2 linked regions of the Mytilus edulis genome follow. The protein of the gene in region 1 purifies or fractionates together with the protein of each later gene. This does not show direct contact. Links are inferred from orthologs where the notes say so. Each region holds a gene or a part of one and is shown in the gene's direction. Other genes may lie near its edges.

Region 1 (16,773 bases):
TTTTTATGGTGTAAATCTGTTGTCTCATTATATATATACAATTTCCTTTTGTTCATGCAGTTTATGAAAAGTTTGTGGGTTGTTTCATCCTGTTTTTTTTTAAATATGCATTTTCTGTAATAAAAAGTGTGATACATTATAAACATTACTGATTTTTTTTTAAAAGTTGCACACATTGTTATGCATACACATGTAGCATACACCTTCTTGTAATTTAAAGTACTGGAAAACAGGAAGTAATTCTTTAACACATTTGAAAAGTGCTTTCATGTTACAACTTATAAATGTTAAGATGCTGACCAAATAGGAAGTCATTCTTTAAGAAATCACTATTAAAATATATTCGATAGACTGAGAAATTGGGGTCAAAACTCTAATTTGGCATTAAAATTATTAAGGAAATATCATAGGTATAACATGTGTACTAAGTTTCAAGTTGATTGGACTTCAACTTCATCAAAAATCATCTTGACCAAAAACTTGAAGTGGGAATGATTGAAAACATAATTTGCCTAAATGGGGCATAAAAAGTGCTGATTTACTCTAAAACGTATAATCTTTGTTGAAAATTTTGATATGAACCATTTGTGTACCAATTCTAATTTTAGGATTTTTAGAGCACACATAATCTTCTACTTAATTAGAAGTATATTTTTTTCTTTCCAATACTATTTTTGTATTCATACTGTTTAAGTATCTTAAACATCTTGTTTTTATTTTGTAGATTGTTTTGTTGCTGAACATGTGCAGGATTCTTCCAAGCAATTCCTTAAGTGTTAATATGTGCTTTTATATTTGAGTTTAAACTTGCAATTAACAAGAATGTGTCCAAAGTACACCGATGCCTCACTCACACTATCATTTTTTATGTTCAGTGGACCGTAAAATTGGGGTAAAACTCTAATTTGGCATGAAAATTAGAAAGATCATATCATATGGAACATGTGTACTTAGTTTCAAGTTGATTGGACTTCAATTTCATCAAAAACTACCTTGATCAAATATTGGTCATTGAGTGGAACGAATGAATGGTTGACGAGCGAACGGACGAACGAACTTATCAACAGACCAGAAAACATAATGCCCCTCTACTATTGTAGGTGGGGCATGAAAATAAAAGTTTGAGATGGTCATTGTGTTTATGTTTCATTGTAATTAGTAAAAAAAGTGAACCTAATCGCATGTGCTAAGTTATGTTCACATGGTTTCAAACTAGCTGCAGCATTTTAGCACATAAATGTTATCTGTTTGTTTATACAAAGTGAAGTTAAACATATCTTCTACTTTTTACCTCTAACAGTAAAATCATTAAGTGGGTCATTAAATCCTTGTTCTGGCTTTGCCCTGAAGCCTAGAAAGGAACCATCTTTTCTTAAAATAAAATATCTTTTTCTCCAATTTTTTATATGTTCTCCTAAAATAGAAAAAAAACAACACTTTAGTCATTGCATGTAAAAATGTATAATACATGTAGTAAAATAATATATTTTAAGAATTTAATCAAGATTTTCTTTTTCACTAAATCATTCTAGATAGAAATATAAGTATTAAAAAAACTATTTTAACTCTTCCACTTGCATATGACAGTTGGGAACTTTGTAAGATATTGTGGTTGTCTATCTTTTTTGTAGCATATATCTTTGGGAATTTGGCATTGATTTCAGATGCAGATTTATATCAGTTGAAATTGTTCATAAATTAACTAATTCAAATTCTTGTCTTCATGTTTGGGTGCTGTTAATCATATTGTGACCACTACACTTTGGTGAATTTTTAAAGTTGAGTCGCTTCATCTCTGAGGTTTAACCTACATAGTCTTTACTCCAAAATAGAATATACACTTCTGGACTCCATTGGATAAAGTAAGGTAACTGTCAAATGTATTGATAGGCAATGAATCTAATTTGGTAAAAACACATTACAAACCAATTTAAAACTAATCTAGTTAATTTTTTTAACATTTATTCTATTTTCTGTCAATATGTACGTACAGTAGACGTTAATAGGGAAATAGCAAACGGAAACCTAATCACAACTTCTATTGTTTATTTCAGATATATAAGATCCCACTCATATCAAAAGGAAGCATATCAAGTGACAAAATCACACATTTCAAATTTTTGGGTTATATCATTATATTGAGAATATTTGTTTATCGAACATTGTCAGAGTCATCAAGTATATATACAACACAGATTTTTCTTCAGGTATTAGACCCTGTTTCAACTGTTCAATAAATACAAATCTTCTACATGTATTTCATGGACACCTATGGCAATTGTGAACTTGTATTCTCCTTGCATGTATCATTGTGACACAATGAGTATTAATAATTTGGTGTTGATCCTTTTGAAAACCTGATGTATATTTTTCTACTAAATAAAAAATAAATTTCAGAGTGATCGTCTAAACTCACATACATGTACATTCACTTATAAAAATATTAGTCATCGATATATTGTACTTGGGTGTGATGTACATTTGTTTTGTAAATGTACTTTAGTATTAAGGTTATTTTTTTTATAATGGAGAACATTAACAACTTGCTGAACAAAATAAAATAAAGGAAAACTCCAGCAGGAATTATGCCACATTAGAATATATAAGTGGCTATAGTAACATCTGAGGTTGATGTGCTACAAACTATCAATATTTAGCTACATACATGTACTATCATACACTATGTCACCCATTGACTGTAATGGACATGATTGTTTGGTCATATGTGTTTTATTACACTTTCTATAAATCGTTGTAATCTAAAAGCATCCATCATACCCATGACAATGATGACTGATAATAATTACACAAATAGCTGTTGAAATTATTGACCATTGGTGAGAAACTTACATTGCTACCTGTAAACTACGTGCTATTTAACAAGAACATATACATGTAGTCAATAATAGGGACATGTAATCAATTTCCAAATGGTAAAATTTCACAGGAAATCTGAATAAACAAGCTTACCTCTTTTCATTAAATATCCTTCCTTCACCACAGGAATGCTACTTCCAGACGGGTTCATTGTCCTGTCTGCCCGTCAGTCTGAAAAACATCACAACCTTGTACTTTAATATCAATCAATAATCAATCAGGAACACTAATGTAGAACCTAAATATATTATCCTTGAAATTATCCTTCTGATAAATTTGTCATACTTGTATAAATAAACAACTACTTGTTAAACAACTGCCCTTCCGACCTTCACACATTGATAAACAACATCAAGTATTTTTCTCAATATGTATCGTAAAAGGGAAGTCAATTTAACTTCAGACAGTATTCATTAATTTGTTTATAGTATGAAAACCACAACTGCACCATTAAAATTTCCTTATAAAGAAACATGGAAGAAAATAATGCCAAAATTAATGTACATTTAGATAACTATCTAATTATGCCTCTTAATTGTTTAATGTTTTTTTCAAATTTATAGGAACATGCAATTAAAAACAAATATTTTTATTATTATGATAGAATATTATTCCATTTATACATTGTATACATTTAATTCAAAGGAAAATACAAAAATTTTGTCATAATAGTTTTCTACATACATATAATTACATTAGATGTATGTTTCATTATAATATTTTATTCTGATTGGCTAACTGCACATCACGTGTTATTCCGTAAGCAGTTGCATTGCTCAATACAACTTTTCACTCATGATAACACATGCTCCAACAATAAAGTGAACAGATGAATTAAATAATAAAATATATAAAATTCGTGTTTTCATGATCAAAGCTAAAAAATGTAATTATAAGTTTTGAATGCTTCTTTTTGTAACTTTATAGGGTTGTAAAAGCGTTGACCGTGACACTTCATACAAAATGTACTTCGGTCAACGCTTTTACACCCCAATAAATTTACAAAAAGAAGCATTCAAAACTTAGTACATTTGTGTGATATATATGTGAATTCTAACAAATAAACATAAAATTTCAAATATTTTTAAAACATCAATATAAATGTCTTGAACATTTCCTTTACAATGCACTCAAAACATGAATTTCTTAGATGTTGAAATTTAAAACACTGTTTACAGGTGTTCTACATTCATTTTCATGTGAAACAATTGATCAGAAATTTTCTTTTAACAAATAAATGTAAAAAAGTTTGTATTTATTGAACCTCATGTATGAAGTAACCTACTACATTTTGTATGTGTACTATGTCTTAAAAGTGGAACAAAAAAAGGACATACAAACATTAAAATAAAATGCTTCGTTGAGCGAAGCCTTATACCACTGCAGACACCGAACCCTGAACAGTTAAGGCAAATTTGGATACAATATATACCTAAGCTTGATACTGTCTGAATTTGAATAGTGATCAAATTTATGACATAATATAGGTTTGAGTGTGTGGCCAGATAGAATTGTCATTGACTTAGTGTGTTAATTAGGATGACCGGTCACTTCAAATGAAAACCTGTAGGCAATTAACAATAGAACAATTACTCCCCGTCTTATTTACGTGTGGGAGTCTTTTTTATAACTATTTAACATGCATTTGACATGCAATTTAAATGAGGAGTCATTTTATAAGAAACAGAAGACATTGGCAAAATCAAATAGAAACATGTAATAACTTGACAGAAAATCTATGACTACATGTACTTGTACATAAACTTGGCATTTATTACAAGAAACTGCTAGTGTGCACGTGGTGAGCCCTGTAGCTGGTGATGGAACTTTAAATTAATCAATATTTCTCTCTTTTTTTTTACAATCATTCACTACATTGTCAATACATGTAATTGATCAATCAATCCTTTTCCTCTTTCAATCTTGTTCTTATAGCTAGATAAAATACATTTAAGCATTTAAGCTTTCATTTAATAAATTTTGTATAATTATACATTGTATAACCATTAATGTACTGCAAAATTATTCCATTATTTTTGTTTAAAATCCAATAAAAATTTTTAAAAAAACTTTGAGAGGAAACTCAAATACCCTACACCCTCAAATTGTCAAAGATGCATAACTCCTACAAAAGTTACCTAATGAAAATATATTGTGGATATGCACATTTACATTATGTTTCCTTATTACATTGTAACTACAAAGCTTCATGAAATTCTGTCTGATCTTTCTAGCACTTGTCCCTTAAGCATGTACATGTATGAGTGTTTTGTACAATGTAGGTGAAAGTGATCTGGTGGTAGTTTGTACACTGCACTTCTGTGGGTGAAAGTCCATGCTCTAGGGCTCACACTACTTCAGAATCATTGGGAGAAGTGAATTCTCTTTTTGAAACTGATAGGGAGAAGTGGTGAGATTTGAAAGAAAAGGCTCCTTCGTGGGCTGTTCTTCAATGTTTTGATTTTACTATAGAATAAAGGGTCAAATGTAAATAATGTTCTTTTTAAATTGTCCAACTCATATCTAAGTATACAATTAAATTAACAGTTCAAATACAAAGTTGTTTAAGTTAAGGTTCTTATGAGAAACCACCAACTAAATAATTAGCACTAAAAAGACAGTCAGGGGTACTACTTGTACAGGTAATTTTTATTTACTTGAAGAAGTAAACAAAAAATATACGTCTTATATAAGTAAATTATAATGTTTGAATAATCTCCCCTTAATTTTCTCAAATTTTCTTGTAAATGACCAGTGTTCTGAAGATAACAGACAAATGGGATTTTCATTGTCCATGAAATTACACTTAAATGATTTGTAAAGACAATTGCAATGGGCAAACAAATTTAAATTCTATTAGAGCAAAGAAATCCTAAGAATTTAAGAAATGAAGATAAGATGACTTTTTCACTTATATAAGTAAAAAAATCTGAATGTCTAAGGGACATAACTAAGTCAAGTTTGTTCTACCTATACAAGTAAATAAAATTCACTTGTATAAGTATCCTACAAACTTACATATATAAGTATATTTTTTTTACTTCTTCAAGTAAATTAAAATTACTTGTACAAGCTAGTAATTACGTAGTACCCCTGACTGAAAGATTTTTTATTTAATTAAGTCAAAAAGGTTAAGAAATTATAGTACCTTATATGAATTATAATTTAATTAAAAACTGTCTTGTTTATCATGTTTATGAAATTCAGTGTTTCTCACCAAAAGATATAGAAAGTTAAGCTGGGCCATCTAAATATATTGATATTAGTATAATAGTCTCAGAGTTAAGCAACTTTAATCAATATTTTGAAATAATCAATATAAATTATATCCATATAGTAAAATTATGTTTGTTTGACAAGCTATTTGCAAAGGAATATGATGTTTTTAATGCAATAAATCGACTAAACATTTACTGAAGGCAACTTTCATTACTTTCAAATGAAGTAATAAACTTATTTTACCGCCGAAAGTTAGATTGATGTACACACTCATTACCAAGTACCTGAAGTGCATGCAGTGATAAAAAGTTGGTCTTTTTATTAAATATAAACCTGCTACACACTGTAAAGTCAATGCTTAAACCTCTTTTCTTTAGAAAATAAATAGTTTCTGTCTGAATTTCATTAATTATTAATAAAAAAATTGATGTTTTATCAACTTGGTTAAAATTGAAAATGTCTGATGATGAAAGCGACTGAATGCGAGTATCGTAAACAATGGGGTGACTTGTTATCCCTTTTGATGGTCGGGCAAAGCGAAGTGACGGATGGGAAAGCGACTTCTGCATCCTAGTCGTCTGGTAGCCCTGCATGCCCCAGGTTTTTTCCCATTCAGCAAATTTTTAGAGATCTTCTATATATAGCTAGTAGTATTTTAGTATATATATATACTGTTCTGTATACTATACAATCATCTGCAAATAGTCATGTGTTGGATGTTATGTTGTCAGGTAAGTCATTGATAAATAGGAGGAATAATAATGAACCAAGTGCAGTCGCTTGGGGGACTCCACTAACCACAAGAACTTTCTCCAAGGATTCTCCCTCAACAATGACTTGTTGAGTACATTAAGCTAGGAAAGATTGAATCCACCTGTGTGTTCTTCCTGTAATTTGTAAGGAAGGCATTTACGTGAGACACCATCAAAGGCCTACAAGGATAACCATCTCAATCTGCTCTCCTTAGGACCTATAAAGTAAATCTCACCAGTCTTTACAATTCTGACCCAGTCTAATTTACTCTATCTATAATGGTTTTTTGAGATAAAAGACAAACCTTGAACTTTACCCCCAACGTTCCATTGTTAGCAATGTCAGCCATGATGGCATTAACCTGTATAATGTCCTGCATTAATTGGTTGTGATTCCCCCTTAAGTAACATTTCAAGTTATTTGTCTAAGAACAATCGAAATTTTAAAGGTGGACTTTTTATTGAGTTTCTTAATCATGTTTGAAAAGTTATGAATAGGTACAAATGCAGTTTTGTTTTTATTTTCCTTTAGTATAATTACCACTTTAACTATTTGGTTGGTGGAGATGTCAGATTAGTCATTATGTTGTAATCTAGAAAAGCTTAAAAGAATAGCTGATGTAGTTTAGATTGCTTCTACAAAGAATGACCAGCTGTCTGATTATTATTCCTGACCAAGTACTTACATACATTGTAGTATACTTTTGGACCTCAATGTGGACCAATTTCAAAAAAGGTCCTAAAATCGAACTACATTTACACATTAAGATTCATTCTACTGAATTCGAAGAATCTGATTATTTTAGCTGTTTAATTTCGAACAATTGTTTACAAGATACATGTAATATGTACATGTATACTTGAAAATTTGGCAGAAACTGTCAGACATTCAAAGCCAATCACTACTGTAAGGAATTGATTCAGTAAATATTGATACTGGATATAAAAGACAGATGCAAAAATTTCTCAGTCAAACAATCTTTATTTAACAATTTGTGTGAACCAGAAGCCAACATTGGTCTGTAAGTCTTCATTATAAATACATGTATAAATGTATACCAAAATTTAGACAGCTCCAGAACTGCCTGAACAACAAAAAAAACACTGACTGTTCATGAAAAATTTGGTACAATAAATTATATATGTACAAAAACAAAGCTACAGATCAGGAGGCATTATAAAAACGTTTGGTTTATATGATGTATAATTTTCATATTTAATAATACTGTCTACAATGGATCATAATTCGGTGAAAAAGCAGTACACCAAAAACATACATATTTATGTGGTATACATGTACATTTTACATGTATATACTTTAATCCAAAACATTTTTTTTCACGAGATAGAAATGTATTCACGTAGGAGACTAGAGAGCATGTACAGGAACATGGATTTAAGTATATATTTCTAAAACTACATGAACTGCTGAAAATTTTCCTGATGATTAAAAGAATGTTCCTTTAAAAAGTTTTTTGGTTCATTGGTTATCCTTCTTTTTCATAATGACTCAAAATTTTTTTCAATACATAAAAGAGGGTAATTCCTTTTAACAAGTATATATAGTTATTATAAAATTTACACAAGTCATTTTGTGTCCTTTCATAGCTTTCTGTTCAGTATGACCCATTGAAGGCTCCATGTTGAAGGCCATACTTTGACCTATAATGGTTTACGCTGAACAGTTTATAGGGAGGGCACACATGCAGATGTAGTGTGCAACTTGCTAGGGGGGTTTGGGGACACCCCCCCCCCCCCCAAGAACTTTTTAAAAAAAATTAGGAGGAAAATCCTGCATTTTGAAAAAGAATAACTGCATGAACTGCAAACAAGACTCAAGAGATTTGTAAACAAAAAACCATGATAGGACATCAAAAAAATCTTGCTACAATGTCTTTCTACAATTCGGAATTTTAGAGCAGAAAATTTGGAAAAAAGAGCATATTTTTCTTCTGAAATGGGGCCAAAATTCGCACAAAGATTGATTAATTGTTGGTTGCTTAACGTCCAGTGACAAATATATCATGCATGATCAGGACAAGAACAAAGTTAACAATAAATACAATAAGTAGGTCATGTAAAAGAGGCCATTCAGGTTCAAGGTTAGGAAGAAAATTGACTGCCATTGGAAAATGAGGGTTTAATGGATATATATAAGGTCTCCTCTAGATCGATAGACACAGAAATTTAGCCTTGCAACAGGCCACCAACGGACCCCTCAAAGAGTTGTTGCAAGGGTTCTTAACATGTAGTAAGTGTGGCACAGCCACTCTCTTCACACTTGGCATCAGATTTAACATCCCCATTCTGACCAGACATGGCTACAAACTTGTACATCATGCACAGCTTGTACATCACGCTAACCCAAAGAGATGTCCCACTTTGGCAAGAGTTCTACTACTGGCCATGGTCGGAAGAAGACAATTGATCATACTTCTATTCCCCAGTCACTCTTGGGGGGTTGGAAAATCCATGCCCAATTTAATATAAAAAAAAAGCATGACAGGCAGAATGTTTACTCTGATTATCACTATGTTTCTGAACAAGTAGAATTTTCTATGATTATTTATTATGATATACGAGTAGCAAGTTCCTCCTGCAAAGATAAATTTCTGCTGGACTGATTTGTTTTTTTAAGATATTTAGGTTGTGAGTATAAATAAGGACTGAATTCTTAATACGCAAAAATGCATTGCGTTGTCATCTTCTTCACAGAACCATCACATCAGACCTGTCAACATGTCACTGAGCAATTTTAACACCCCTCCCCCTTTTTTCTTGAAGTTATTTCTGGAGATCAACAAGTGCCTGAAGATGACTTCACTTTGTGTCAGTTGAAGGGGTCCCTGAATCTGTACAAAATTGTAAAATATTTTCGTGGATATGAATTAACAAATGTTCAGTATTACCTTTCAAGAAAATGCAAAGAGTTCCAGCATTTCACATCAGTAATGTTGTCTCGTTTCTTCTCGCTTGACACGGGAATTAAAGATATGCCCGGATGACAGGTGTCTGCTAGCCATTTGTAGGATTCATAATGCATTTCAGTGAAATATTCATTGTTTCAGGCACGGAATCTGTTCTGATATATAAATCCTGTATCCTAAATTTGCTATTCAATAATTGCATAAAAGAACAGGGGTCAGATTGAAGTACAAAACTGATCAAATTGAGATTTCCATAAATCTTCTTCTAAGCTTCTCTGTATCTCCTTCCTGTAAGGAACACCAAGTAAAAAATAAATGCATTTATGATTTATGTACATCACAAAAAGCTTTTGAGCTGCATGTCTCTGGAAATGATCCGAAAATTAAAAAATAATAAAGTTTGTAGATATAGACAATAGACAATATTTTATTCGCACAAACACATTTACATTAAATGGTTATGGCATACAAAATTAAGACAATAAACTGACAATAGTTAAGGTTTATGTACCCTTCTGTAGCCATTTTTGTACGAATTTTTCAAACCTCAATTGTATCAAAACTAAAGATATAATAAATAATAGAGATAGGGCATTTAGTACATGTTCCAAGGGGAAACTTGATGCAAAGCATTATTTTTTACTGTTTCATTGCATTTGATAGAAAAAGAGGACTTTGTGGCAAATAAATCAAGATTTTTATAGAAAATCCACATCCTTTAATACAGAAATTTTTGTTATAAAATTTGAAACATAAATTACTCACTTGATTTTCTATGATGTGCTAGTGTTTATTTTTTACAAAAAGTTCTAAGTAACCTGTAAATTCCAAAACACCTCGTGCTGAGTCACTAAAGTCGACCGCACCCTAAAAGGTGTACTTGATTTTGGCCATATTTATACTTGTCTTAACCAATAACTACATTTATAAACTTGTTTTAAGGAAATCAATGCTAGCACTGCATGCAATAATCCTATATCTATCAGTCATCAAATTGCCAAATATGAGAGTACAAGGATAAAGGCTGTGGATTTTCTATAAAAATCTTGATTTATTTGCCACAATGTCCTCTGTTTCTATTAAATGCAATGGAACAGTAAAAAAAAATGCTTTGCATCAAGTTTCCCCTTGGAATATGTACAAAATGGCCTATCTCTATTATTCATAATATCTGTAGTTTTGATACAATTGAAGTTTGAAAAGTTCGAACAAAAATGGCTACAGAAGGGTACATAAACCTTAAATTGATTATAATTATATAAGAGTGACAGTGGTATTCACAGCGAAGAAGAAAAAGGCTATAAATATCAACAGTTAACACATTGTTAATGTTCATGAACAATTAAAAAAAGAACACAAACAAAAATATATATTAGACTACAGGAATTAAAATTACTGTCAGATACATATATATAGGTAAAAAAAAATGTGGCTCTGTCAAAGATTTATATAGCATGGTCAGATTAATATCTTTTTGTACGTCATATGCATGCTTGTTCAATGGAAATTGTGACGTCACAATGCATTCTTGATAGTACGAAATAACCCATGAGTCAAGGATAAGTCTTACTTAGTCTGTTTCCCGGCCGTTATTGAAATTATTGTATATTCCGAAGGCATACTGAATGTTTTACGGAGGGGACCAACCTAAGTCTTACTATACAAATACAAATCCTACTCAAATAATTGTTACGTCTTGAAATTAAGGCGTCAAAGCATAAAATTATAATAATGCGGAGTCCTTCAAGACGTCATAATTATTAGGACTATACAAATCGTTGCTCTGTCTCAGTGTGATTCATTTTAAAGGCAAGCCTCACATCATAAAAACAGACATATCAAAATATACCAAATTAAACAAGACAGACAAAAAAGGCAACAGTGAACGATTCATGGGGCCTGGCCCTGCCCTTCCTCTTTTTGCACCAAAGTAAGTCATCAGGTTCAAAAAGTGTCTATTTTGATGTTTTTTGTCCTATTTCTTCTTCTTCTTCCGTTAAGGAGTTGACCTCATATTTGAGTGATTTACTAACTCGGCTCGGTAAAACAGGAGACCTCTCCATTGATTAAAAGTAAATATTAACAAATAATTAACAGGGGCGGATGCAGGAATTTTCGAAAGGGGGGGTGCAAAACATATGTCCCGATACAAATGCATTGATCGGCAAAAATAAAGGGGAACCCCCCCCCCCCCCTGGATCCGCCACTGATTAAAACTATATACACTGTACAATTTGGCAGGCTGATGTCTAGTTAGGCTGCATCTGGGTCCAGGGCACACTGGCTAATCTGGCCCTGAACTCCGTGAGTGTTGGTGCAGCTGCTACTGTGTCTGGCAGAAGGTTCCAGTCTCTTATAGAGCGTGGGAAGAAGGAGTTGTTGTATACTTCCTTAGTAGCTCTTATCTGTCTAAGTCTGTGGCCACCCCTTGTTCTGTTGTCCCCAGATGTGTAGTAGATAGCTGGTTGTATCTCCACTAGTTGGTTCTGTATCTTGTAGCATAGGACGAGTCGCTGTTTAATTCGTCTATACTGTAGTGGATCCCACTGGAGTTGGTCTAATAGTCCAGTGACGCATCCTGGGGAGGTGTCTGTGTACTGGTTGTAAACAAATCGTGCTGCTTTACGCTGTACTCGGTCGATGTCTTTGATCAAGGTGGTTTGATGGGGGTCCCACACTGTGGCAGCGTACTCCATCGATGGTCTGATGAGTGCACAATAGGCTGTGTTTTTTACAGATGGTTTGCATCGGCCCAGGTTTCTGCGGAGAAAACCGAGGGTCCTGGTTGCTTTTCCTGTGGTGTTATTAATGTGCTTATTCCACTGTCTTGACTAATGGTAACTCCAAGGTACTTTCCGCTATCAACAACTTCTAGTTGGTGTCCATGCAAGGTGTATGTTGTTTGCAGGGTGTTGCGCTTGTTAGATATCCTCATGACTGTGCACTTTTCTGGATGGAAACACATCTGCCACTTGTGTTCCCACTCTTCCAGAGCAGTGAGGTCTCTCTGTAGAGTTGCAGCATCATCAGGATTTCCAATTTTCCTGTACACCAGGCTATCGTCCGCAAACAACCTTACATCTGAAGATGTACAATCTGGCATGTCATTGATATATGTCAGGAATAGTAGAGGACCTAAGACTGTCCCTTGTGGAACTCCTGATATTACATCTAAAGGAGTTGATGTATGTCCTTCTAGCACAACTGACTGGGTTCTACTGCTTAGAAAGTCCTTTATCCAGTTCAATGTTGATCCTTTCACCCCGTAGTATGCCAGTTTCAAAAGCAAGCGTTCGTGTGGTACCTTGTCAAAGGCTTTTGAAAAATCCAGTAAGATGATGTCAGTCTGGTGCCCCTGGTCCATGTTTTTGGCAATCTGGTTTAGTGTTACAACTAACTGGATCTCACATGAGCGTCGACTTCTGAATCCATGTTGCTCGTCGCATAGAATGTTGTGTCGATCAAAGTGATCCATTACTGTGCTATGAATAATATGCTCTAGTAGTTTGCATGCTATGGATGTCAATGACACAGGCCTGTAATTTGAAGGTTGGTGTTTCTCTCCTTTCTTGAAGATTGGCACGATGTTTGCCTTGCGCCATTCGTCTGGTATCTTACCCTCGTCCAGGGAAAGCTGGAACATCCGGGTAAGATAAGGAGCTAGTGATTCAGCTGCCTGTTTGAGAATGTTTGCTGGAACTTCATCAGGGCCTGTTGCTTTGAATGGTCGGAGTCCCTTTAAGAGTTTGTAGACACCTCTTTCATGGATGACGATATTGTCCATGGTTGGATGTGGACTTGTGCCTAGGTCAGGTAACGTACCGGTATCTTCTTTGGTGTACACTGACTGGAATTGCTGATTCAGTATAGATGCCTTAGTATCTGTGTCACTATGTAGTAGGAAGCCATCTTTTGACTTCAAGGTCACAATCTGGGATGCATCTTGTTTCCGGCTCTTTACATATGACCAGAATCTTTTAGGGTTTTTCTCCAAGTCGTTGCTTACTATATCTTCCATGTAGTTACTCTGTGCTTGTCTAGCCTCCTTCTGTAGTTGTGCTTTCAGAAATTTGTATTTCTTTTTGTCTCGTGTTTTCCCACTGCTTTTGGCAAGGGTATAAGCCCTCTGCTTTTTGTTACTGAGTCGTCTAAGCTCTGAGTTCATCCATGGATGGGAATGTTTTGTTAAAGTGTTCCTGGTTGGTACATGTTGGTTGATGGTATCTAAAATCAAGCCTTTTATGTTGGTCCAAAGGCTGTTAACATCCTCAAAATCTGTGTTTTTAAAGATGTTGTATTTTTCTTTGAGTTGCTGATTAATCATGGCAATGTTAGCTTTTTTCCATAGATATATTTTTCTCTTTTGCTGATTGGGTTTTTGTAAGCCGTGTGAAAAGTCTAGAAGAACTATATCATGGTCACTGTTCCCAAGAGGTGTTATGGTTTTACATCTATTGAGTTGGCCTGGATGGGATGTAAACAGCACATCTAAGGTGTTATCTCCCCTGGTTGGTTTGTCTACCAACTGTTGTATGTTTAGGTTGGCTACCATTTCGAGAAATGCATTGTTAATATCTCTTGATGTTTGAGTACCCTGTATTGTGTAGTTTTTCCAGTCAATGTCTGGTAAGTTGAAATCTCCACCAAGGATGAAAATACTACTTTTGTGGTTTTTGCGTAGATCAGTGATGTCTTGTATTGCGTTGTTTGCAGTTTGTTGATCAATCCTATTTGGTGGTCTATATAAGCAGGTTATTATGGCTTTCTTTTTCTGGTTTATGTTGATGCTCCCAGATATGAGTTCTGTGTCTTTCCCTGAATTAAGATGGCTAAGTCCAAGTGTTGTCTTTGCTGCTATGAGGACTCCTCCATGGGCGTCTGTTTTCCTGTCCCTGCATATGACATCGTAACCAAGTTCTGGTGGAGCTGGACCTGGAGTGAAACTCATCTGGGTACAGCAGTCTAAAGTAAGGTAATTTGGACCAAACATCTACAATATTTGAACCTGCAACTGGAAGTAGTTGTTCCTAGGAATATTTCTATAATAAACACGATCAGTAGTTATACCAACCTACCAACCAACATGGTTCAGGTTGACGAGTAAAAAAAAACATAGCCCTATGGTAAATGATTTTGGCTAATATTTCTGAAACACTGTGGCATTTAGAGCAAATATGACTGGTGATAATATGTACATCCGGTTAAGAGCTTCTAGCCTTGAAACTTTAAGACAAATCAGACAACCCATAGTTGGGTTGCTGCCCCTGAATTGGTAATTTTTCAGGATTTTTTTTCAGTTTTTGGTTAAGTTTTTAATATTATTAAAGAAAGAGAAACTATAAACAAGTAATAGTGTTTAGCATAGTAAGATCTACAAGTAAGGCAATATGACCATGATGACCAACATGGTTAACCCTTTCCTCTATAATGACGCCTTTTGGGTTCACAATAAGTGACAAAAAAATTCAAATGTCTAACTGGTCTATTTAAGGTACAGTTATTATTTCATTTAAAAGTAAGCATATTTTATGTGAATCAAGTCACTTGACCTCTCAAGGAGTTATTGCCCTGTATAGTCAATTTAAAAAAAAAATGTTTCTTTTACAAAAATCTTTTCCTCTGAAACTACTGAGACAAAAAATTGAATTTAACCAAACTTGGCCACAATCATCATAAGGGTCTATAGTTTAGAAAATGTGTCTGATGCCCTGCTTACCAAGCAACATGGCTAAAAAAAAGGGCATAGGGGTTAAATGCAAGTTTTTAGCTCACCTGACCTGAAAGGTCAAGTGAGCTTTTCTCATCACTTGGCGTCCGTCGTCTGTCGTCCCGCGCCCTGCATCCGTCGTCTATCGTCCGTGAACTTTTACAAAAATCTTCTCCTCTGAAACTACTGGGCCAAATTTAATTAAACCTGGCCACAATCATCCTTGGGGTATCTAGTTTAAAAAATGTGTCCGCTGACCTGGCAATCCAACCAAAATGGCTGCCATGGCTAAAAATAGAACACTGGGGTAAAATGTATATTTTGGCTTATATCTTTGAAACCAAAGCATTTAGAGCAAATCTGACAGGGGGTAAAATTGTTGATCAGGTCAAGATCTATCTGCCCTGAAATTTTCAGAAGAATCCGACAACCTGTTGATGGGTTGCTGCCCCTGAATTGGTTATTTTAAGGAAATTTTGCAGTTTTTGGTTATTATCTTGAATACTATTATAGATAGAGATAAACTGTAAACAGCAATAATGTTCAGCAAAATAAGACCTACAAATAAGTGAACATGACTAAAATTGTCAGTCAACCCCTTAAGGAGTTATTGCCCTTTATAGTCAATTTTTAACAACTTTTCGTCATTTTTTTTAACTTGTACAAAAATCTTCTCCTCTGAAACTACTTGGCCAAATTTAACCAAACTTTGCCACAATTATCATTGTGGTATATAGTTAAAAAAATGTGTCCGATGACCCCGCCTACCAAACAAAATGGCTGACATGGCTAAAATTAGAACATAGTGGTAAAATGCAGTTTTTGCTTTATATCTTTGAAACTAAGACATTTATGGCAAATCTTTCAATATTTAAATGTCCATCAGAATAAGATCTATCCCCTCACAAATTTTCAGATGAATCCGACAACCTGTTGTTGAGTTGCTGCCCTAAAATTGGTAATTTTAAGAAAATTTGCAGTTTTTGGTTATTATCTTGAATACTATTATAGATAAAGATAAACTGTAAACAGCAATAATGTTCAGCAAAATAAAATCTACAAATAAGTCAACATGACCAAAATTGTCAGAGGACCCCTTAAGGAGTTATTGCCCTTTATAGTCAATATTGAACAACTTTTATTCATTTTTGTAACTTGTACAAAAATCTTCTTTTCTAAAACTACTTGGCCAAATTTAACCAAACTTGGCCACAATCATTACTAGGGTATCTATTTAAAAAAATGTGTCTAATGGCCCCGCCTACCAACCAAGATGGTTGACATCAGTAAA
Region 2 (17,334 bases), on another chromosome or scaffold:
TGTTGATTTCTGTGTCACTTGTAAAGAGTTGTTTCGTTGACAATCATACCACATCTTCTTTTTTTATATAAGCATAAGAATCAAAGATAAAAAATCAATTTGAAAAACTGAGCAGAGGCTATCTTTGTATCTGGTGCAGGAAAATTGGTACCGTTAATTTTATTTGTAATCATGAAAATTACATAAATATGCGCAGAGTACACCTTACTGTTGGGAAGACAAGTATTGTCAAATTAATTGCCAAGAACACCTCATATCATGCCATCTTTCATGCCATCTTTGAATTAATTTTATACAAGTATTTAAATATCTGCAAAGGCATTCAAAGTTTTAAGCAGTCCATGTTTAAGTTTTAAATTGTAAGTTCTAATCTCGATTTATTTTTATTTTTTGTAAAAAAATATGATTTTAGAAATAATTAACAATTTTTTTGAAAAATCACGTTTTTGCCTTAAATGTAAATGAATTTGTTTGACAAGGAAAAAAGCACTCGGTAAAAATTAAACAAATTGGGATATTATTAACCTTGGTACAGTGTACCCAATTTCAATATAATATATATATATATGAAAAATGCATTGCCTTGTATCGTTTCTTTTGTATACTAGTATATATTGTACAGCCGTTGATCAGCGACGCCTAATCAAAACTTGATGTCTTTGCTTGTATATTGTTTTGATACCAACAAGAACAGCCCTTCAAAGGGACGGTCTTTCGTTACCGATTGTGATTTTTTTTTCTTTTTAAGACGGTAATGTTCCTTGTGCCCTTCTTACAGGGTGTTATATTCCACATTTTTTTCGTTATGTCTATGCCTGCAGTCGAGTTTTAGGTTTCAATGACTGCAGTTTATGGATCAATGGAAAATTCATGGCCATGATTTCTTTACCATAAATTTTTTATCAAAAACGTTAATACCGAATTGTTTCAAATATACAAAAATGTAATCAGGAAATTTGGCAGTACCTGTTGAAAACTTTTAAAACGAGTAAGCACATCCTAATCTTTTACGGTAATAGTTGCCGTTTATAGAGCCCGTAAATATAGAGACGAACTATGTTGCCTCATTGATCATTTGAATAAACTTATTATTGAAGGTTATCAATTTAACACTTATTAAAAAATTGTTCTATCGGTACTTACACTGAATTTGTTTTGAAAAAATTAATCCGGTCAAACATAGATCGCTATCTATACCAGTATATATTGAAATATTCATTAGATATTACCATTTTGATATTTTTGATTAGGACAAGAAAAGTATATTGATGTTACATCAAAAAGATATTTTATTATACATCAAACCTATTCTTTACATAGATGTAAATCAAAATGTTTTATAAATATTTCTTTTACACATCTAAAAAATATATATATTAAATGTTATATAAAAATGTCCATCAGATATTGATTGAATATTGCAAAGAAATATCTCCTCGGCATACAATTGTTCTCATTTATAAAACTGTCTATTTAACGTTTTAAAAACATCAGCAAAAAATATTTATTATTCATTATAAAAAAATATTTACAAAAATGTGTTTATATTAGCAATCAAACATTGGGACGAAATATCATTGATAAAATATCATTAATGCATAATTTCTGATGTAAAAAAAATGTCTTTAAAATGTTTTTTGGTAATATTTTTGAAAAACATATATATAACCAGTCAATAATATCATGAAAATATTATGTGTTAGCTGGGTAGGTAGTGGTGATAACTCATAATCCTACATCATATCGGTGACTGTTTACTCATATTTTAACACTACATAAGACAGCCATGCGTTTCTCCCTACTGTTTAGGCAGCAACCATTTGATTTTCTGGGGGGGGGGGGCTATGTTTTTTTTTCTGTGCAATCTAACAATCTATTTTTTTAGCGACAAACCGAAAACAATTTTTTTCTTTCAATTTTAGCATTACATATAGTGGCAGCTGAGGGTGAAACAAACAATTTTTCTTTCTCAGGGTCCAAAACAAATTATTTTTTCCACCAAAACCTGGAAACAAACTTTTTTTTCCAAAACCACTCCCCCCCCCCCCCCCAGGAAATTAAATGGTTGCTGCCTTATGACGTCTTTATGTTCATCAGTGATCCGTGTCTATTTGTTGTTTTTTTTGCCCTGGATATTTTGCTTCGTAACAATCAGTGAATCTTTTGAGTTAACACCAATTGCAACAGATGTTAACACTTTGTTCTTCACTTGTTTTTTTCAACTCCGCCACTTTGTTATTGTCCTGTTCCAAGTCAGTAGCCTGCAGTTCGGGAGTTTTTATGGGTTCCTATCTGTCATTTTTTTAATAAATTGTTTTGTAATAAACTAGTATAATGCATACTTTACGGTATGGGGTTTGTTGAAGGCCGTACGTTGACCTGTAATTGCTTATATACACCTGTTTGAACTCTGATGACTCGTTATCTCACAGGCAATTAAACCACATCTCCTTATTTTTATTTTCAACTGTCACCAACACCGATGTTCATTGAAATACTTACAACAAAATACAAAATAATGGTAACTTGTTTGATATTTAAATTATATTTTGTAGAAATGTGACCATGATCATTAGCTGTCATGGTCAGTTCACGCACCCCATCAGTTCGCCAGTTATTGTCTTTGTCCATCCTTCACTTTTAGACACAATGGATATCTTATCGATTATATACGTTGACATATAAGCATCTGCAGATATACCAAAAAAACAGTATGTGATCCCAAGCTTTAATTTTATTATACTTTCAATAATGCAGATGGGCAGCTGATTAATTTCTAAAGCTAGTATTTATTTGGTAAGATAACTTAATTTTAGGACTCTTGTAAAACAGTTGGTTTTCTAGATCTCGTGTGAATTGTTTTACATTATAAAAAGTACCGACGCCTTTTATTTAGCTTGTTATGCCGTATGGGTTTTGTTTATTATTGTAGGCCATATGTTAACCAATTCAGTGTTTCTAACACCTATGTCATTTAGATAGTTGTCGAATTGGCGATCCTACGTGAGTACCACATCTTTTATCTTATTTTAAATCAAGGCAATAGTAGTATACTGCTGTTCTATTGGCATAAATCGAATTAACTGAAACAAATCCGGGGCACAAACAAAAACAGAGCTAGGGAAACAAATCAACTATAAGAGGAAATCAACGGAACAACAGAAACACTGAACTGCTACAAAAATAAAAGCCAACCTACATAGAAGCGGATTTTTTTATAATAACTGCCATATTCTTGACTTGGTACAGGAAATTTAAAGGAAAAATGTGGGTTAAACATAGTTTTATGGCTAGTGAAACCTCCCGCTTATATGGCAGTGTCAAAATACCGCTATTAAAATGACAACATTGCATGACAGGAATACAGTACAAATAAATGGGAGGAAATTCAGAACAGAAATATACACAAATAAACAAAATGATAGTACATTTCAACGTTTAACTACAGTATAACAACCATCACATAAAATTAATTTACGATAGTATACAAATACAGCACACAGAATTATGAACTGTGCGTCACAAAAATATATATCAACGCCACAAAAAGGGACGTAAAATTGTCGATAATATCTCCTTTCACATTGTTAATTTGTTTTCTTTAAATTAGAAAGTATTCTTTGGTAAAATGTAAAGTCCCAGTTGATCTTATTAAACTTGCTCTCTTTCCCATTCATTGCTTCTTTACTGGAAGATCAGTAAGAAGTATTTTTTTTTAATTTTTCATCGCTAATTTCTATTTTCATATTGAACAAATGAATAATTTCTCGTTACAAACTAACTGTAATAATGTTTTCTAAGCCTGAGAATACACAAATATACAAAAAAAAAAAGACGGTATGCACAAAGAATCATGAGCAACGAAAAAGACTGACAACCTCTTTGCGAAATTTCAAGTCATAATATCCGTATATCAACGGATTAACCACGTGATTTATCACATAAAATCTTTGTAAAATAAAGTAGATTATCATCTCTGTTGTAGAAATATTGTACCAAAGTTTGTGGTTTAATTTACTTATGATTAGAAAAACACAAGTTGGTGTGTAAGAAACGAGATAAAATATAATAATAGTCAAAAACATGCTGTTGAAATTGATTTTGCTTGCGTGCATAGTTTTCTTGCGAGTTATTTCGCCTGTGCTTCCATCGCTTGGTTTGGTTTCCGATATAGATTCAAATTGTGTAGAAGCAATGTCCATGCTTGGTCGTCGTAAATCCTTTAGTTTTATATGTCGATATAGCTGAAGTCCAATAGGGATATAGAGAAATGAAATAGTAAGTATGTTTGCAACCATTAAAAAGAATATAATGTAATAATAAATTGCTTCATAGTCTGGGTATTGCCCAGAGCCAGTAAAACACGTCCATCCGGTAACGTTCAAGCCATTGAATTCTCCTTCGATATATTTGTTTCCAGAAAAGAGTAAAACAGGACACGAATTAACAATAGAAAATATAACGATAACAGCCAGACATATTTTTCGTTTTGCTTCGTCCATTTGTTCTCCTAGCGGCTTACATATTTTCAAATATCTTTGAACAGCAATGGCTATAAGAAGCAATGCCGATAAACTGGAAGTGCTTGTCATTGCAAAAAGAAGACCTTTACAGAGTCCTGTGGATGGAAAATCCACAAAATATATAGATTCCAATACATAAAACACAGATGCAACTGTGCCGGATATTAGATCAAAAACTGCCAAGATCGGAATGAAATAGCGGTCGTCTCGATTTGCTTTCATTCGAAAGAAATATACCATGAGAACAATTATGTTTCCAATAAATCCAAGCAGAAAAATTACACCTTGAAGAAAAACACTCGGAAGTAGTTTGTCGTAATAATCTTGATTCCACTGTAGAGTTAGATTATAATTAGAATCCATGTTCAGAATATTCCAAAGAAAAATCCACAAAATGTTATAAAATACCACTCAGACAGAAAGGAAGGAAATGCCTCATTTCATATAAAATAATGTTGTATAAACTTGGTCATCTGACGTTGGAATTGAAATGTAGGTAGTATTTATAAGTATTGAGTATGTATAAAATGTGAATTTAAATACTTTTCGTCTAAATTGTTAAATCTTGACCATGTAGCGTAAAATTAAAGAAACCTTAGGGTGATTATAACCAGCTACTGCTGTGATTAAAGAGCATTAAATATCATTACTCGACAAAATAACATAATATTCTCATAGTCCTTTCTAGGTTAATAAGCGCAGATAGGTCATTTTGTAGTAATTTGTATTAATAGTTAAGCAGAATGAACTGGCTATCACAAATTGACCTGACATGGAAATCCCTCATAATGAAATTATTACATATATTTATGAGATTTATTAATCCTATATATTTTTCTACCCTGATTAGGTTAAATAGAGATGGTAGATTAAACAGGAAAAGTATGTCCTCTTGACATTTTGGTAAATTAAGATAACTATTGCTACTGTCTATTAGTAAACAGGAAATAATTTACAGCAATGTTAAATTGGAACCAAAGTGCATCTTTAGAAAAAGTATCGGGACAGAAACGAATCAGAACCTATGCGGTATGGGTTTTGTTCAATTTTGAAGGCAGTATGGTGACAATTCTGTCTCTGGTGAAGGAGTTGTCTTATTGTCAATTAAACCACATCTTCTTATCTTTATACTTCATTGTATTTATTGTAACCTTGGCCATCAGATGTGAAAACATGCTTAATTAAACTTTGACTCAATTCAGTCCGTCAGTAGTGGATATCAAATCTTTGGCAGATTTTTGTGTTTGCCTTGTATAGAACTTAATCATTGTTGTTATGGGTATTATAGAGGGTTCCAAGTGTTTCACCTCCATCTTCACGAATTGTCATCAACATTATTCAAACTGTGCACAGTGATTGATCGTTCCACATAGATTGAAAATGTACATACGTAATGAAGGAGCGCTCTGAAAAGTGGAACAGGCAAACTTCTAAAAAGTGACAAGGAAAAAAAAGAGAGTGAAATCCCTTCTATAGTTAAATAGTCAGTCACGTCCCTCTATCATTTTCGGACGCATGAAACTATTAAACGTCTTGTTTTCCATTTTTTACCATGCGGTACGGGCTCCGTTCAAGGTGAGTTGTCACATTGGCAATCATACCACATCTTCTTATTTTTATATATTTATGCATTTTGATTGGTTACAACTATAACAAAGAATAAATTTGTCCACGTAGGATTTTTTGGCACAGGAATATGTTCTTCCAAGAACCCCGATTCAAAACAGGCACAAACACGGTATTGTTCTTGTTTGATATTTTTTGTTCTCGCCCTGTATTTATTTCTGGGCCACTGACTGTTCAGCATACAACAATCAAAATATTATAATAAATAAATATTTAAATCAACACGTACCATTTAGAGCACTTTTTATAATTTTTTTCAGAAATATATATATACTTCAATTCTTTACTAAGTATATATTTTAATTAGAAATTAGAACAGACTTTAACTTTTTTGATGGCGCATTTATTTTAATGATCGAAATGAAAGAGTCTTTACACTTTATAGGACTGGACATCAGAATGAAATATTTTATTAATTTGTATAAGACACGGGCCTGGAGCTATTGAATACCAAGTGTGTATACATCTTTTATCAGAAATTGAATTAATTCACCATGTGATTGTCCATGCAGTAAACGTCTTCATCATTTCCCTCCAGTCATAAGTTGTTTATACTTTATATTTTTATAATACAATGTTTTTAAACCACTATAGCTGTTTGTTCAACTGTTTGTCGCTTCTTATTACTACTATATTATTGAACCTGGTTTTTAGGGGATGAGGAACAGTTTGCTGACTTGTCCTACGACATACACAAAACTAAACCTTGTGGAATTCGGGATTTAGAAGGCATTGTAATTGTGTAAGCACATCGAAAGTACATGTGCATTAGGGTAAATGTATATGTAGAATTTATACTTCTATGAATAAATTATAATCATGAAATCAAGACATAAAGGTATGAAATTCACATAAAAGGGAGTTATTTCGCTTTAAGTTGCAATATATCTTATTGAATTCTTAGACTTAAGAAAAAAACACTTTTAAAAACTTTTCCACAAAAGAGGGTCCCCTTTGCCCCTAACCCCGCCTCTGTATCTGCATCTGTATGGGTTTCGTGTGAGAACCATACGGCATGCAACAATAAAAAAAACTCATATGTTATATTCAACTATAAAAGAATGTTCAGTCTACAGCGGGTCTGATTAACTGAGTAACTGATTTAAAATGGGGTTTTCTTTATTGGTCGGTGCATGGATGCTGGATTTTGGGTTTGTTATCTTTTTTGGTTTATTTGGCTTGTTGGTTTTGAAGGTGACATCACTGGTTATTGAACCTCAAATAATCTGTAGAAAATGTTACTCTCTGTTGTTTCCGTCTGTCTTTTAGTGTTTATCATCAGATCTTTCATTTTTTTGCATCCGCATCACTTGATTGTAGTCATTGTTGATAAATATTGCTGCCTTTCTTCCTTTCTTTCTTTCTTTCTTTCTTTCTTTTTTTCTTTCTTTCTTTCTTTCTTTCTTTCTTTCTTTCTTTCTTTCTAGTTCGTCCTTCTCTTGTAAGCTCAACTTGCCAAATTGATATTTGCAAGCTTTTCCCCATCACATCTGAAACTACTGAGCAAGATTGAACAAACTTGACCACAATCATCCTTATGATATTTCTCTTTAAAAATGTGTCTAATGATTCACGACAACCTGCCAAGGTTATAAAGGGAGATAGGATATAATTGATGTATTGTCTATAAGTTATCTTGTAAACTAATATCGCTTAAGAAAATAAATCCTCGGCATACAGGACACGCATGTTCAGAATGTCAAGATCGGTATAACATTCATTTAGACCAAACTGTCAAGACAACATTTGATAAGGCATTATTGCGCTGAAATGACCATTTTCACCTTCTTTTTTATTTCGAGTTTGACTAGTATCTTCAAAACGATAACAAATAAAGGGGAAATTGTAATCAGGCATAAAAATGATATTTGCATGGCCAAAATCGTCATTTGACCCCCAGGAGAGGTTATATATTTCGCTTAAAAGCAAATTTTTAACCTTTTTTTAAATTTTAACCGAAACTTTAATTAGTAGAATTGAAAGAAACTGCAAAATTGACCAGAATTGTTAGCTGATTTTTTTAAAGGAGTTATTGTCCTTGCTTGATGATGTGTACTCATTTTTAGTATTTTTGTGCATCGCCTTTATCCATGACTGGAACTCTTGTGAATAGCTTTATCAACGGAAATCCTTTCACATCTCTCCTTATTTTTGATAAGCATTTTATCAATTTGATGCAAATTTGACAGGTGAGCTAATCAGGCTTCTTGGAGCCTCTACTTTGTATATGCTCTCATTATCCCTGATTAATCATACTACAGATAAGTATTCGGTTTTTCCCTGCATTTTATGTTACTTTGCACACCAAAACAAAACGGTGAGCCCCGGTAGTATCAGAGACTCTGGTAGTATATACTTTCAGTACACTTTTTTGAATCATCTGTATGAAAACATACTATTAAAAAGCTAACATTACACATCGGACCCTTTAAACATTTTGATTTTACTGGTTAACACAAAACTTAAAGCTTATCCGATTAAAAAAAAATTTAGGATTGAAAGTAAAAAAACGCGAAATAGGATAATAGTAGAGCTTTGCATTCTTATAAATTTGTTATGGTTTTTGAATAAACCATTAAAACAAGCGGTTGTTTGATAAAGATTTAATATGACCAAAAACCAAAAAGAAAAGGTAAATAAATATTATTTGTTGGAAATCATAATTTCAATACCCTTGGTTCTGGTCATCAGACCATTATAGGATTTTATTTGAACAAATATCAACATAAAACATTGCACCAGTAGTATAAAAATGCTTTCTCTTTTTAGTGACAGATAATACCTTTATTCTCAAATTAGAGTCTATCCCTGCTTTCCTGACCTTGAATAATTCATGAATATTCATGAACAATTCATGAATATTCATGAATAATATTCATGAATGTTCATGAATATTCAAGGTAACAGTTCATGAATATTCATGAATATTCATGAATGTTAAATGGCACCTTGAATATACATGAATATTGTTTGAACTGAATAAGCTTGAATATACATGAATATTGTATGAACTGAATAACCAAGAATTAACATGAATAATTATCTATAGAATATTCATGAATATGAAATAGGATGTCTTTGAATAATGCATGATAGAATATTCTAGAATCACCATGAATGAAAAATATATATCTATCCCAATATTGAATGCTAAATACATACTCTAGAATAACCTTGAATGTGAATATTTCATGAATATTGAATGGTTGAATGTTCTAGAATAACCATGAATATTGAATGGATGAATATTCTAGAATAACCTTGAATATTGTCATTTGAATGGTTGAATAATCTAGAATAACCATGAATATTGAATGGTTGAATATTGGAGATTAACCATGAATATTGAAATAAGTGTCCTTGAGAGGTTTTTTGAAAACCAAAAGCAAATACAGACATTTAAGTTTAAAATATTTTTAAATCATGATAGCTGTGAAATATGAATTCGTTGGAAAAATTTGGTTGATCATATAGGGAATCACTGAAGCATGACTGGAGTGCCCCCTCCTTATGAAAAGTTCTGGATCCGCCACTGTATTGATCCAATATCCACCCGTTTGTAGTACATGTATGTATCACATTTTTTTGAAATAGTAAAACACCCATGCAACCATGCATCCCGTATTGCTTGATAAGGTTGGAATTGGGATCCATACTATAAATGGGTGGCTATTGGATCTAAAATTCATGTAGATCAATAAAAGTGACTTTACAGATAAAATTATAAAAATTCATGATTTTAACACAAATTGAAACCTTAAATGTAGACTTTAATGGCCAGGTGGGTAATTCAAACATGTTAAAAGTTAATGATAAGCATACATTGTACATTTGACATGATAATGAGCTAACTTATATCAAAGATCTGTGGGGAAAAAACAAATGAGATCATTCTTATCAGAATGTCATTAAAAAAATCAATGCAAATATTAGTATATTTTGTTTTTTTTCAATATTGGTGCTTTAATTGCCATGCATTATGGATTAAACACATTAATCGTTTATCTGATCATATTCAAATATTTAAATAAATAATAATATTAACATCCTATCCATGAAAAAAATATGGCCTGCATGGTTATGATGACGGAATAAAACCTAAGAATAAAAACATTGACTATGGTCAGCTTAATAAAACCTCACTCAAAAACTGATTTAATAACTATAATATTAAAACTAATGTGTCAGATATAAACTTCTCTTCCTTTCTGTAATTTAAAACTTGCTGTCTCTATACTTCCAACTAGAATTGCTGAATACAGGTGTTAAAATGTTGTCTGCATAAAATCTGTTTCATATAATTGCTGGCAGCTCATATTTAATCCCCTAAAAGTACAAAAATATCCACAAAGAATCAATTGTTCAAGAGGTTATGAAGCAATAAATTCAATAGAAACATTATTGATTTTGCAGATGTATTGTATCTTACATTGGAAGCCTAAACGCAAATTAAGACCCCCCCCCTTTTTTATCCCTTGAAGATTATAGTTTTCACCAAGTTTGTTCACCTAATTTAATTTCTACATTATAAAGTAGAATGTGGTAGTGCATTTTTTTAAAGTTATTGACTCCACATTATTAACCTACAGTTTCTCTTTGTACATGAATGTGACAACACCACATACATTCATTAGGGAGCTACCATTTGATTTTTATGGGGGGGCTAGGATGAAATTTGAAAAAAATAGGCAGGACAGGAATTTTGAGTAAAAAAAAAGGCAGGATGAGACACTTGCAAAAAAAAAAAGTCAGGATGACAATTTAGGTAAAAAAAAGTCAGGATAAACTAAAAAAAAAAAAAGGCAGGACCGAAAAGAGTGAAAAATAAAAAGGCAGGACAGAGATTACAACTAAAAAAAAATGCAGGACACAATTTTTCATCCTAGCCCCCCCATAAAAATCAAATGGTAGCTCCCTTACATTAATTGTCTGTCAAAACTCTCTGGTGTTTTCTGAGATTTTAATCCTAAATGTATTATAATAGTGCCTAAACAAATTGCATTTTATAATTATTATAATTATTATAGGTTAAATTAAAATACTTATCTGAAAACATTTGCGTTGTGATTCTCCATTTTGTTTATCCAGCGTATTTTGATGACGTATGCCAGTCCGTTTCCGTCAATGTGTCAATCTCGCCCCATATATTATCGGCCCGAAGTTGATTCGTCCCCGTAACGGCGTTTCAGTGAAACTTCTCAAAACAGGCCGCCAGTCAGGTCACGCAATTACGGCCGATTTGCAGGGTTTGGTTAGTTGAAATTTAAAATCACGAAGAGTAACTTCCCCTTAATATGGGTGTTTTAGAAATATTTTAAAATGTATTTGTTCTAACTCAAATATACGTTTTTCTTTGTAAATTTTAGTATTGTGAATGAAATCTATCGTAAAATTCAGCTGCAACTAGTATTTCATCTTATTTTTTTAATTTTATTTTGCAGGAATAAAAAATAAAAAATACCATACTTTAATGATTTTCCCCTAATAATTAGGTGAAATGTTCTATTCAATGCTCAGCCATTGCATTTCGCGGTAAATCACTACTTTAGAATTTAGAGATCATAATGACACTAAATTGACAAGATGAACAGTACTTAAACAGTTTACAGGTGACCTGACTTACAGACGATCCAAGCTAATATTACATAGCCTTCAAAACGTTGAAATTATATGGACAGGGTACAAATGAATTGTACTGATAATAGCTGTTAGAATTTAATATGAGTACTTTTTCTACCAAAATTACTGCCCATGCATCAGTATCTTATTATTGCTTTAATTTTCAAAAACAATGTTTTAAAGTGCACAAGTGTTTGTTCACAGTTTTTCATCACTAAATGATCAAACTACTCATGAGTTTTTTGTCATGTGCACTTGGTTTTCCAAAGTATTTCATCGAGTTATATATCATATATAACTGTGGAATACATACATGTACATGTACATGTATGTTATTCAGCATCAACAATCAAGTAAAAATATACATACAAAAGTCCTAGAACAAATTTCATTATCAATTTTTATGCCGTTTGCCACAAATAATTCTGAGTCATTATCATGCAGCTTTATTCATGCTTATTCATGTTTGTCACACAATGGAAAAATATTCTAAGTCCAAAATTTATTCCTCATTATTCATTCTTATTCATGAAATGTATGCAAAAAAATTCTAAGTCCAAACATTCATTCTTATTCATGTTTATTCATATTGACAAAAAGGGTTTTATTACCACAAAAAAACAATTTTGAATGAAGGAAACTTGATTATACTATGATATAGGTAGTGACTAGCATTTTAAGAACATTTATTTGTTGTCTCCAAACAGTTATTAAGAATTCATGTATATTCCACTTAATTCATGTTTCATATTCATGAATAATTTTGACACTGGAATAGTAACCATGAATGGAAGTGGAATATTCATGAATATTCATGAATATTCTACTTTATTCATGAATACATGAATATCATGAAAGCAGGGATTTTCTGCCATAAATCAAAATCTTTTGCTTAATCAAGCTACTACTAGGTCAAATTATAACATTACTAAATATCAAAATTGCACATTCAAAGATATTTACAACAAATGTCCTACCAAAATGTGGGGTGGTCTGTTTGGGAAGGACATGAGGATAAGCTGATCATGGTCTAGTCCAAATAATTATTTGGACTAGATCATGGGGTGTTCTGATCCCGGATCCCACTTATTGTTTTGTCAGATTCCCGTATCCCACTTACACACTATGTACGTAAGCAATTCTCATTTTTTTCTAATTTCCCGCATCCTTCTAGACTTCATTTCACGTTTTCACGTCACAATAATTACTTTCACGTGTCACACTTACAAAAAATCAGCAATCCCACGTCACGCTTAGACCCCAATGAGACCCACTATGATGTCTTGGAGTTGAAAGGCAAAAAATTGAAATATAGCCTTACAAGACGTTATAATTATAATATATTGTCCCCTGAACAACACTTAATAGTTGGGGGAAATAGAAATACAGGGTGTCTGTCCACGAGGTCTTATCGCTGCCAATTTTAGTGCCTGTGGGTCTTGTTAGCGCTCTCATCAAAATTTTTGAAAGGAGTTATGCTCCTTGGAATTTTCAATAATGTGGAAATTTACCTTACAAGCACCGTAATGGATATAATTCTTGGTAGATTTTTATGAAATATATATAATCAAATATATAATGCCCTTTGAATTATTGCTGATTTTATGTAAAATTGCATTAACAGAATTTTATGAAACTTATAGGTTTATATTGATCATGCCTGCAGCAATGTCGTGGACACTTTCAAAAATAAGAGATGATCAAATGTTTTTATGAGTGTTGCCACTATTTATTGTAATGGAAATCACATTGCATTTGCTCTAAAGCCTTCATTTCTCTAAGATATTTATGAAAAGTTTAAAAAAAAAAAAAAAAAAGTAAAAAGTGCTTTATTTAATAGATATTACCCTTGTACCTTAGATAGACAAAATTTGTGGTACATACTTTTAAAATTCATGTACCAATAATAATGAAAATAATATGTATATTGATAATTTCATTAAATCTTATAATTTCAGATCTTCATATTGTTTGGAAATGGAGAAGATATGAAATATTCTACAAAACTTCAGTTCTGTAATGTGACAGTGGTGCCAATATCATGGACAAAGTTTCATTTGTTAATAAGGTACATGTACATCTTTCATTAATTTAAGTTAAAGAGGTAATATATATTGTGGTACATTTTTAAGTGCTTGACACAGATGTATCTGTGTACATGGTGTATGACATACGAAAAAAGGGTATTTTATGGCACATAAGAGAAGGTCTAGAGAAAATTTATAAGTTGCTGTACATTTGTCTCCCCTTGATTAGAGACAAAGTTGCCCGAAATTAAAACTTTTTTTTCAAAATGTCTACAATTTACAGAATTTAATCTATTTACTTAATTGAATTATTGTCATTTAAAAAAACGTATTTGTCAATAATCTCTACTCCTATAAAGTGACAGTTAACTGTATTGAAATGACATATTTGTACAAATGTTAAACTGTCTTGTCTATTCTGAGAAGTGACACCTTTGTTAAAAAATATTTGTACAGACTATAGTGAACACTTTAAAATGAATGCTATCACATGTACAAATTGTCAGGAAAAAATTACATACATTAATGCTTGATTCAACATAAACATATTTGAAAAATCATGGAACACAATCCTTTGAAAAGATTTACATTTGTATATAAATGAACCAAAAAGATGATGAAAAGTGTTCTAAAATTAAATATAAACTAAAATAATATTTTTAGAATAAATTGCTTATAAATGCTTTATACATACAATGTATATCCACACCTAATAGTTGAGTACTGCTTTCAGATAAGTGTATTGATGAAAGCTACCTCAGATGATGCCAACCCTATACAAGGTTATCTATATCAGGAAGTCAATAGTATCCTTCATATTGTGAATAAAAGTTATCCCAAAATTACTGAATGCAGATATATTTATATTTTAATGATTTAAACATATTTTGGTTTTAAAATGTTAGATTACTGACTATTAGGTAATAATATGTATGTTTATGGAATAATCTTCATCCATTAATGATTAATCTAGAAGTTTTAGCGGTAGACAAATAACAAAAAATTGCTACAATAGTTACACATCCTCAATAGGACTTATTAAAACAGAGAAGCCTAAATGGTCTATAACCATTTTGTAACTGGAACTTTCAATCTTATTTTAAGTGCAATTAAGTTATTAATATATTAAAAAATTGTATATTAAAAAATGATAATTGAAATAAACAATTTTAATCACACCAGTAACAAAGTGGTGGTTGTCAGGAATATGGCTGACTCAGGTAATACAGTTGCAGCATCAACAAAGACAGGCAAATTTATCTAATTAAGGGAACTAAATTTCTTTAAATACTTTTATTTTTTTTTACATAGAATACATAACATATCATAACATAAAATATTCCAATATTTTTGTTATAATTATGCAAAAACAAAATAACTGTTCTTGTATGTTGTTCGTTTATGTATCAATTTAACAAACAGTGTTATCATTGTTTTCTTTAACATCACAAACAGAGATTACATTTGAATCTGATGGGTACCGAGAGAGCACTCTAGAGTTTCTGGTAGACAGACTTAACAAACAATCTTGTCATGTTAAATTTAAGGTAAGATCAAGGGAAGTAGTCCAGTCTTCAATACAATTTTAGATCAAACTTAAAAATTAGTTTTGTAATTTGCGAAATTATTGCATACATTTGTTTTTGCAAATTTATGAAGAATGGACAAAAATGGAAAATTATTTATTGCTATTTCAGGAAAAGCAGTCTACAGGTATATGTACCCAATATCAGATTGTTAGCTTTTATTATTTCGGTATACTCATTCATTTTGCATTATTCACATGAATAAAAACCTCACAATGATTTCTGCATTTACAATATAAAAAAAAAATTATTCTCCATTTATATTTGGCTGTTTAACTATAATGTATCATGTACATGAAATAATTTTTGGAAAATATATACTTCCTTTTAGAGGCTTCTACAGCAAACATCCTCCGATACTTAGTTTATTTATGTTTAGGTGCTGAAATTGCTTAAGTTCATAGTAGAGAATGGACCATCAGAATTTAGACTTGGATTGATGAAGAATTCTCATGGCATCAGAGAAGCTACAAGTAAGTAAAGATCATATTGAGATTTTGATGATTTAGGGATGAAGATGCCCCATAGCAGTGACTGTTTGTCTAGCTCTCATCTGATTAAAAGTGTGATGGATACCAAAGAAACAACAGCACAAGTTCAAATGAAGAATGCTTTGTTCATTGTTGAAGGACATACAATGACCTATAGCTGTTAATTTCTGTGTCATTTGGTTTCTTGTGGAGAATTGTCTCATTGGCAATCATACCACATCTTCTTTTTTATAATTAGTGTACCAAACAATGCTTGTAATTACTTAACATGCTTAAAGCAAGCTCAAAATATTGCTGAAATGAATTATATTACTCTACACTATAATATTGGCAGCCCTACTTTATAAAATTATATATGTATCATTGGTTTATTTAGAATAATAGCAGCTAGCACAGATGCATGTGATTATTAAGAATTGTTTAATTTTTAATTTACAGAATATAGTAGTCCAGAAGATCCACTACATGGCAATGTACCCAATAAAGCTGTTAGACAGATAGCACAGGTACTACAAGATTGTTTACACATTTAACATAGTTACTGTAACATGTGTTAGACAGATTGCTCTTAAGAAGGTAGTAAAGCATTGGTTGAATAAATAGAACAAGAATGTATTATGTCCCATAGATTTAAAAGGTAAAAGTAAGAAATCTTTAAAAATTAAAAAAACACACAAACAAGACCAAAAAAGTTTATAGACAGAAATTGGCAGCAGATAATTTTCACCAAAAAGGTCTTTGTCAAGGGATGATGATCACTGAAGAGTTTCTATTGAAGATTTTGATATATTTTCATCCTGAGGAAATTATGAAAAATTAGTATCCATAAAGTTAATATATAAACATCATAGTATTTAGTTGGAGACAAACTAAGTTCATTTGGTGTTTGCAAAAAATGCAGAATGAATTCAAGATTTCAATATTTTTTGTTGCAATATAAAGAATATAAAAATATTTTTTGGGGATGTATGGGCCCACAAAAATTGCTCTCATGAAAATGAAAGAATAATTTTACAAACATAATGAATCTATTACAGGTTTATGTTGTAAAATGTTATAATTGATTTAAAGAACCCATGATTCATCACTTATGACATGCCTTCTATCTTTAGGAGTTATCACAGTTGTTATTTGACACAGAATTAAAACAAAGCCCAGGAATGCAACAAGAAAGGTCAGCACAAGACAAGTCCAGAATCACAGGTATCAAATTTAAACTAATTACAACAATTCTCTCTATTCAGTTCCTCAAGAGAAAAAAGTTATTAAAGATTAACATGAAAAATAAGTCATACAATATCTTTTGTTGTAAATGTCTTTTGTTACATGTCTTATTTTTGTTTATGTGTGACATGAAATGATTTCTCATTGATGTATACCCTATACATCTACATTATTCTTAGTTACAAATATAAAAAAGGAAAAAGATACATGTATAATTACCAATGAGACAATTCTTTTC

What was found.
Region 2: the proteins of AP-4 complex subunit mu-1-like (region 1) and AP-4 complex accessory subunit Tepsin-like purify together in Homo sapiens (co-immunoprecipitation; 3 studies listed by BioGRID and IntAct, with this or other methods). This does not show direct contact. The link is inferred for Mytilus edulis from reciprocal best matches to the Homo sapiens genes AP4M1 and TEPSIN.

Annotation. Positions count from the first base shown.
Region 1 is NC_092346.1:61,083,714-61,100,486, forward strand, and holds the start of AP-4 complex subunit mu-1-like, read left to right. Parts: upstream 1-9,820; 5' UTR 9,821-9,885; coding exon 9,886-9,946; intron 9,947-16,773. Other genes in the region: RAC serine/threonine-protein kinase-like, read right to left, coding at 1,292-1,414, 2,971-3,028. UniProt on the Homo sapiens protein: Component of the adaptor protein complex 4 (AP-4). Adaptor protein complexes are vesicle coat components involved both in vesicle formation and cargo selection. They control the vesicular transport of proteins in different trafficking pathways.
Region 2 is NC_092352.1:20,598,502-20,615,835, forward strand, and holds the start of AP-4 complex accessory subunit Tepsin-like, read left to right. Parts: upstream 1-8,728; 5' UTR 8,729-8,781; intron 8,782-8,832; exon of another isoform or gene 8,833-8,893; intron 8,894-13,726; 5' UTR 13,727-13,809; coding exon 13,810-13,836; intron 13,837-14,528; coding exon 14,529-14,601; intron 14,602-15,250; coding exon 15,251-15,342; intron 15,343-15,760; coding exon 15,761-15,854; intron 15,855-16,310; coding exon 16,311-16,378; intron 16,379-16,984; coding exon 16,985-17,075; intron 17,076-17,334. Other genes in the region: cholecystokinin receptor type A-like, read right to left, coding at 3,852-4,886. UniProt on the Homo sapiens protein: Associates with the adapter-like complex 4 (AP-4) and may therefore play a role in vesicular trafficking of proteins at the trans-Golgi network.